Nothobranchius furzeri: one gene and its partner. The protein of the gene in region 1 purifies or fractionates together with the protein of each later gene. This does not show direct contact. Links are inferred from orthologs where the notes say so. Each region holds a gene or a part of one and is shown in the gene's direction. Other genes may lie near its edges. The genes, in order: serine/threonine-protein kinase 38-like and mob2a.

What was found.
Region 2: the proteins of serine/threonine-protein kinase 38-like (region 1) and mob2a purify together in Homo sapiens (affinity purification with mass spectrometry; 9 studies listed by BioGRID and IntAct, counting the BioPlex papers as one, with this or other methods). This does not show direct contact. The link is inferred for Nothobranchius furzeri from reciprocal best matches to the Homo sapiens genes STK38L and MOB2.

Annotation. Positions count from the first base shown.
Region 1 is NC_091741.1:59,878,498-59,882,694, forward strand, and holds the end of serine/threonine-protein kinase 38-like, read left to right. Parts: intron 1-2,501; coding exon 2,502-2,625; intron 2,626-2,967; coding exon 2,968-3,063; intron 3,064-3,140; coding exon 3,141-3,232; intron 3,233-3,344; coding exon 3,345-3,469; 3' UTR 3,470-3,541; downstream 3,542-4,197. UniProt on the Homo sapiens protein: Involved in the regulation of structural processes in differentiating and mature neuronal cells.
Region 2 is NC_091744.1:77,548,114-77,552,598, forward strand, and holds the start of mob2a (MOB kinase activator 2a), read left to right. Parts: upstream 1-1,520; 5' UTR 1,521-1,715; coding exon 1,716-1,831; intron 1,832-4,485. UniProt on the Homo sapiens protein: Stimulates the autophosphorylation and kinase activity of STK38 and STK38L.

The DNA of each region.
Region 1 (4,197 bases):
CGGTACGAAGGATTTCCCAAGTGGTGCTCGCTGCAGAACCACAAAGGCGGAGCTGCACCAGAAGGTGGAGCTGCACCAGAGTCAGCCCCGCCCATTCCAGAATCAGCCCCGCCCATCCTATCGGAGTCAGTCCAATTCCTTCCAGTTGTCAGACTTGATAGCATTCTGGAAACAAAGAGGGTGTTATAGCTAAAAAATGCAAGATTGAGGAGGGAGTTGAGAAGTTAATTGAACAGTTTTTGTAAAGGTTCCATATAATTAAAAATCTAACTTTTGGAACTTTTAATCATGTTATATTGTCATTTCCTCATAAGAAACACGCCAAAGCCATTTTTGGCCTCATTCATGCATTTTCTTCCCATCTCAGCTTCAATTTGGTCTCCTCCCCCAAAGTGGGTCTGGTCTTGGTTCTCAAATCTGGATATTCTGTGAATTTTCTGACAATTTATTTCTGAAATGACTTCTACTGAGACACCGCCAGAAAAATCATACATCCCATCTACAAAGACACACCAAATAACATAATAAAATGTAACGCCACCTGATTTTTATCAGATGTGGTGGTGTAGTGGTAATGGTGTCAGGTTGACATGCAGTTTTGCGCAGGTTCGCCTCCCAGCAGTGGAAATATTCTATAATCTCTTTTCCTCATTTCTAGCTACACTTGCCAGTACTATGTTTACAACAATTTATTGGTATGCCGTTTAACATATAATGACTAATGTGTTTTTTTTATTTATTCATTCGTTTATTTAGCCAGTGTGAGTCCATCTGTGAGCAGAGTTTCAACTAAAATGCTGTTTAGGAACGACCAAATTCAAAGAACTTGTAGAGACATAAATATTTTGCTATAAATGAACATTACAACTAAAATATGAACAAATTAAATGTTTCAGCTGGCTGAATAGATTGTTGCCGACCCCACCGAGAATCGAACCAGCATCAGCTGAGGGGAAAGCAAAACGTTAGTCAGACGATCTTGCCACTGGACTACCAGAACCCACAGGAAGGGTACATGCTGTTGTACAGGACTTTTGTTAGAGCGGCTGTGGGCAGATATTCGCTACGAGAAACCTTTTTATTTCGGGATATATTCAGACTTTGTCATGTAGCAAGTTATATTTATCTTGTTTAATTGGAGCACAGAACATAGCATTAACGACTGTAAACTAGTAACAGCCGTAATTCATGTGGGTCAGGTCAGTTTGCGATAAAGTTGAAAACAAAAACGGAAGTCAGTGGGCTAGGCTGAGTTTGCGTGAATGGGCGGGGTTGACTCTGGTGCAGCTCCACCTTATGGTGCAGCTCCGCCTTTGTAGTTCTGCAGCGAGCACCCTCTCGGATTTCCTGTGGCGGTCAGTTCTGCATTTCGGGGCAATGAGTCTTCTGCTGCGTGTGCTTTGGTGGTCCATCATGTGGGCGTGCATGGGGTGGGAGGGGTTGTTCATGATAGAGAGAAGCTTTTTTAGCATTCTCCTCTCAGACACCTCCTCCAGGTTCTCCAGTCTAACACCCAGGACAGACCCAGCCCTTCTAATCAGCTTGTTCAGCCGGTTGGCATCAGCTATCTTCACCCCACTGCCCCAGCACACAGCTGCAAAGAACACAACGCTCTCCAACACCGAGTGATAGAACATGGTCAGCATTTTCCTACCAACATTGAAGGACCCGAGCCGCCTCAGTAGGAAAAGCCGACTCTGCCCTTTTTTGAAGATGGCATTGGTGTTCTTAGTCCAGTCCAGTTTACAGTCCAAGTGTACACCCAGGTACCGGTAGTCCTCAACGATCTCAACGTCAGCCCCTCCGCATCCGGTTTTGAAATTAAGAACTTCAGTACCTCTGTCTCAAAGAAAAGCCCAAGTCTAAAGCCTACTGCACACTGGAAGCATCAGCGGCAGAACATCATTGCTTCAACTAGAATCCATTGTAGTCTTATGAGGAGCCTGGGGACCATGTGTGCTCTGGAGTGCAGCGATTGTCGTGAGTAAACCTTTCTGCTGCCCTTCTGCACCACTGATGCTTCCAGTGTGCAGTAGGAGTCAGTCGTCCAAAGTTGATGCTAAAGCCATTTCAAACAAGCGCTGTTCCTGAGCTGATGCCATTTTTGTAGTCTTTTTTTCCATCGCAGCTCTGGTGCAAAGCCCGTCCAACAAACGTAGAGCACTGTGATTGGTAAGACACAAAACTGTTCCGTCCAGTGTTAGACCTGCAGAGCAAAATCTTTCTTTGACTACCAAATATACTTACTTAGAGCCGTTGTTGTATTTTCTACGGTCAGCTGGTTGTTATGAGGTCTATGTTTATAAATAGTGATAAAAATGTATATATGTCATAATTATTTTGATTATGTACTAAGTATAGATGTTAAAGTTGAGTGGGGAAGAAATGATTTTCCTCCAGTAAAAATAAACAACAAAATGACAGATTTTCCCTTTGGGCTGAAGATACCTTAAAGGCGTGGTGTCTAAGCTACATATTGAGATTTGTTTTGTGTTTTCTAGGTTATCCTCCCTTCTGTTCCGAGACGCCACAGGAGACGTACAGAAAAGTTATGAACTGGAAGGAAACTCTTGTCTTCCCACCTGAAGTTCCCATCTCAGAGAAAGCCAAAGACCTTATTTTAAGGTTCTACCTAGACTTGTAGCTCATCAAACATTCAGATTGGATCCCTTTTCTGTTGATTTTTTCAGTTGTTTTGGAAAGATACAAAAATGTGCCGTAAAATGTGTGTTTGCTTTAGTGTAAGATGTCTGTAGAGAATACTGTACAGGATTACTTATAATGATCCAACTACAGGCTAGGGCCGTTAGGCTTGTTAGCTGTGGGCTAGTTAGGCTTGCTGCCTAGCTTTGAATCAAATCTAGATGCTGCTGAAAAACATATTTGGTTTCGCTAATGGCTTGAATCTGGTCATTCTCAACATGATCTGACCGTTTTTCATTTTAACGTTCCGCTCTTGTTTTTAAGGTATTGCACCGATGCGGAGAACCGAGTTGGAGCTGCGAGTGTGGAGGAGATCAAGAGCCATGCTTTCTTTGAGTCGGTGGATTGGGAGCACATCAGGTACAAAAGAACAGTCTAGGAGAAGTCAGGAGGTTTATTAGAACCAAATTTTCAACAAGTCTCATCTCTATGCACAGGGAGCGGCCAGCAGCCATTTCTATTGAAATCAAAAGTATCGACGACACGTCAAACTTTGACGACTTCCCTGAATCAGACATCCTTCAGCCTGGTGTGTCATTGTTTAGTTACGTTTTTGTTCCTTTGTTGATGTGGTACGTACTCTTAAAATATTCCTAATTTATTTCTTTTATGCGTGTGTCTGTCTGCGCGTGTGTGAACAGCCAACTCGACGGAACCCGACTTTAAATCGAAAGACTGGGTCTTCCTGAACTACACGTACAAACGCTTCGAGGGTCTGACTCAGCGAGGCACCATCCCCACGTACATGAAGGCAGGAAAGGCCTGACACCCTCGCCTGGGTGGGGTGGGGGGGGGTTGATTACAGACATTTTATGGAGACAGGGTCGGGCCGCTAAGCCCCGCTGGTGCTGAATGCTGTGCTGTCAGCGTCTCAGTCTCAACATAACCCTCATCACTGAGTTATTTAGCTAGGACGTCAAAAGCTCAGATATTAAGGAGCGTTACCGCATTACCTCGGCTGTTTTTGCATCATTTGTGTTGTTTTAGCCGTAGATCACAGACCAGCTCACTAACTTAGACACCAGTTCAACATATCTGCATGCTCAGCAACTTCTGGACCATCTTTTATTTAACCTTTGTTGACAGCTTGAATCACGGCTTTACCATCTTCTCATTTATAGTTCATACACTGGTGTCTTTTTAGCTCGCGCGCTAATTTCTTTTTAAGAGAACAGTATCCCCTCGTCTGCTGAAGCCGCTATGCTGTTGGGGGAAGTTCCAGCATGATTTAAGGTGCTGTTGAATGTGTTGTTGCTGGTAGAGACTTGTTTTGAGCTTATTCAAAAGTCCAGTCCAAATAACCTCAGCATCAGATACAGACGGGCCGCAGGGAGAAGAAGCAGCTTACAGTGTGGTTAACGTGTGGAACGTTGAATGAAATGTTCTAGACAGCAGGTGGCTGCAGAACTAGAGTTAGACCGTAGAGATGTAGAATAGGTAGCAGAAAGACCTATGGAGGCTGTTTGATGCAACCAGTGGCAGATCTAGGAAATT
Region 2 (4,485 bases), on another chromosome or scaffold:
ACCACTTTTTAGGATTAGATTATATTTGTCTCAACATTACAGGTTATACATAACAGAGTTGCAGAGAAATGTTAGTATGTAAATATATTGCAAATTACTTATTATATGCTTTAATGTAAATTTGATCATTTAAATATATATATTTTATAAAGTTAAAGCAATTTCAGTACACCCTCTTTGTGCAAAACGCCATCAGTTATGCAGGATGCGTAGCATTCCTTATCAACTCATTCGATCACACAGGAGGTTTAAAAATATAGAAGATATATTTCAGTTGATTTGGTATTCAAAAAGAATGATAAATGATCCGCACTTGTATAGCGCCTCTCAGAGTAAGGACTCCAAAGCGCTTTATGTTACAGTGTATCATTCATCCATTCACTCACACATTCACACGCTGGTGGGGATGAGCTACGATGTAGCCACAGCTGGCCTGGGGCGCACTGACAGAGGCGAGGCTGCCGAGCACAGGCGCCACCGGTCCCTCCGACCACCACCAGCAGGCAAGGTGGGTTAAGTGTCTTGCCCAAGGACACAACAGCAGCATTCTCTGTCCGGAGCCAGGATCGAACCTGCAACCCGATTACTGGACAACTCGCTCAACCTGTTGAGCTACTGCTGCCCCGAAACGCTCTCTGTTCCTGCTGCACAACACACACCTCTTCATACCCTAATTTAACCCCCATAAGAGGACACTTTGTTACCTTCATACACTAAATCAACACAATCTCCGTCTCATGTAGCCGCTCGCCTTAAGCCACAAAGAATCCGCCGCAGATCTCAGATCAGGTATTTCTGTTCGGCTTTAGAACGTTGACAATGAGAGGTGACGGAAGAGGAAGTGGGAATGTGTGAACTGAGCAGCCGAGTGAAGAATAAAAGACTGGATCGAGACCATAATTACAGGGGAAAGCTGAAGTTTGGCGACAGAAGTTGCAATTGTCTCATGAGTTGAACTCGGTCAGTTTTTATAACCTTTTGTTCAATTTGTTCCCAAATGCTGTTGTCTGAGCTCCTTGTTGACTATTTAATTAGAGCTTATATTTATCTTTTGCCTCAAACTGTAAAAGTTCTCAAATTATTGCTCCAAAGAAACCTCGGTGTGTGTGTTCACAGATCTGCCTTTAGCTCTCCAACGGGCTGTGTTTGATTCGCCCACTGGTTCCTCAGCCCTTCCTGCCGTGTCTGAACACGCCGTCATAACCGGACTCCAGGGTAGTTTCAGCAGCTCACCTCACAGTTTTAGCATGAACTATAATGGTACACTTATATTTTAGATGTGATTGCATATAAACTAGTGGCTGAGCTTTAGTGTTTGTTTATCCTATTTTTATTTTAAATATGTTTGGTTTTGGTTCTGATTTGTCATCTAAAGTGTTATTCATGGGTTGTTTATATTTTTATTTCTACTTATTGGCTGAATAAAAGTGTGATTTTCAGTCAACCTGTTTCTTACTCATCAGAGGATAAGACCAACTACATGGGCTGACTTCAACGTCACCAAGGCCCGCCCACTTGGTTCAAGCTCCTGCTCTGATTGGGCCAGAGTAAGGGGGGGGGTGGAGCTTCTTTAAGCTCTCCCTCAAAAGTTTTTCTTTCTCCTGTAAAGTGAGTCGGAAGCTTCCCTGAGCCGGAGCTCTGTGTCTTTGTCGGACAGGCCAAATGTAAAAGAGCTGAAGGAGAGAGTCTGACTTATTTTCTTCATGTTTTGAACTATGGTCAGAGATCACGCCTTATTTTCTTTAAAGAAGAAGGACATGCACCCTCAGAAAAATCCTAAAAACACATTAAGTTGCAAAATGGTTCTTCAGGCAGTCGGAAAAGTGCTACGGTAAAACAGTTTTCCCTTGGATCTGTATTTTAAAATAACTTTGATGTAGAGAATTTGAATGTAATACGTCATTTTTATTTTCTCCATTGTCTTAAAACATGACCTAAATATGATTCAGAGTTGTTTATATGTGACGTCTTCCACGAGTTTTCACACGTAGAAGTAAATTACTGTCTGGTGATGATGTCTCCGAGACACTCGTGCGTCCTCGTGTAGACTTTTCAGTCATTTAGGACATTTTCACTTGGAGCTCGGAGTGTTGTTGTTGTTTTTAGGCATTAAAATAACCGTGGCAGCGTTTTTTTACTCTCGTTTGACTGGTATGAAACGAGAGATCCTCCTTAAAACCAGAAGGAAATTGGTCCAGCTTTAACTCCTGAGGGAGCTCGGTGCTAATCATTTCACGTGTGTGTGGAGTGTGTTGTGGTGAAGTTGTCCTTTACCTTATTTTTTTCCAAGCAGCAGCCTACAGGGAGCATACCTTAAAACCTGTTTTGTTCTGCAACACAATGGGAGTGTTGCTGTCGATTGCGGAGGGAATATCATCCTAGCGGACGATAACGAGCATAACTTAAAGTGTTATTGGATTTTGTCGTGTCTGTTGCCAGACCTGAAGCGAGTGGAGACGAGCCTATCCACTCCTGATCAATCAGGAAGTTGAAATTTATTATTGTAAAGACTGCTCAGCCCTTAGGAAATACACTACAGAAGCCCAAGAGGGACAGTTTTTGTGCCGAAGCAGCTGCTTAGTTTGGTAGGAAGTGTCGAGAGTCTGTTTATGAAACTCCTAGCCTGTTTGGAGGCAGGTGTATATATAAAGGTAACTTGCATTAGTACGGCTCCTCTAGCTGGAGGAAAAACCTACACAACCAGATTAAACAAACACCCGTTTAGGTTTTAGAGTAGACTTTATTAATCCCACTGTGGGGAAATTCACTTGTTACAGCAGCACGTTTATCCATCATATTATCTTTTACAGCTAGATTCTCTTCATCTGTCAATAAAAGAGCCAATCGTGTTGGCATTTGCTGCATTGTTGAGCAGCAGTTTTGCACTGTGGCATCGCAGACCCCCGTGCTTGAATACGTGTGTGTTGTGATGCTGATGAGGCTCCATTATGATGCTAGCAGTGGGGAGTTCCTTCTGTACTGTGTTGGCCCTCAGAGTCAATGAATGGGATTAAGCAGGAGATTGGAAGAGGAAGATAAACAAGCCAGAGCTACTGTGGTATTGTGTTGTACTCCTACATGGCTACATTTCTCATTTACTGTATTTTTTTAACCCTCTTAAGGCAAAAATCAAGATTTTAGTTTAGTTTCTGAAACGATTCCTACAGCGACGTGGCCCAGCTGAATGTTCATCTTGTTGCTAGCCGTGTCTCTTTTTAGCCCCCGCTGCTGCTGCGGTTTTGCTCGGGTCTGCTCAGACTGCCATTTCCTCCATTTGTGGTTTTTAGGGGGAAAGAGGCTTTGGATCTTGGAAGAAACAGACGGGTCTGAAACATCCGGCTCACATCAAACCTTTTGTTTCCTACGCTTACTGATGAAAAAAGGGGAACATGTATGCGTCTGGTTTAAACGTCTAATCAGTGTGGTGGAATACTTTTTATTATGGTTTATTTCTTTTTGAGAAGAGGAACAAGTTGAAGCTAACCTCTCCAATCTCGTCATAAAGTTGCTGAGAGAACACAGCGGTTTGTTTTCATCAGCTTTTCACTGTTGGAGATCACATCGACTGCATCCATATGTTAATAGTTATTCTCTCTGCAATACAAACAAACAATTTAGGGAACTGTTGTGCAACTTCTGGCTTGGCAGGAGCCATCGGCTTCGGGGGGGGGGGGGGGGGGGGGTCATTACATGGGGTTATTAAACAGTTGTGTTTTAACATCACAGCAGGAACCAGTAAAAAACAATTGTTTTCATGCAGGAATGCTGGTGGATTCTTAATGGAGATGATGGTGAGTTATGGAAAATCGGCGTGTTTCGAGCACAGCCTCACTGAAGGGCTGATGTTTGTGCCTGAGCGGAGGAAGTGACGGCTGTTTTGTAGTAAATTGTTGTACTTCTGAGAAAGCATTTGAGCTAATTCGTTAGCGTAGCTGTGTGTGAACGAATGACCCGTACTTGTATAGCGCCTCTCAGAGTAAGGACTCCAAAGCGCTTTACACTACAGTGTTTAATTCATCCATTCACATGCACATTCACACACTGATGGTGATGATGAGCCACGATGTAGCCACAGCTGCCCTGGGGCGCACTGACAGAGGCGGTGTGTAATGCGTTCCCTTGCGGCTCCAGGGTTAATTGGAACCAGGTTCTGTTAACGAGACCGGATTGTAGACTGGCTCGTTTTTAGAAGTCTTCTTGGTTCATTTAGCACACAGCCACTAATATTTGCACCAGTCTGAGGCCTAGAAGCAGTTGTCTGTTTGCACAGTCTTGGTGGACGCAGGCGTGCAGAAACAAACACCCAAACCGGACAGAGCTCACCTATTCTCCGTTCCTCCCACGGCGTCTGGTTCAATCAGGTTCGTGACACAGCTGTTGACACCAGCTGGATCGGCCTTGAAAACTGAAAGGATGCTTGAGGCAGTGTCCTCTGTGTGTGTGTGTGTGTGTACGTGCGTGTGCGCGTGTGTGAGTGAAAGAGGA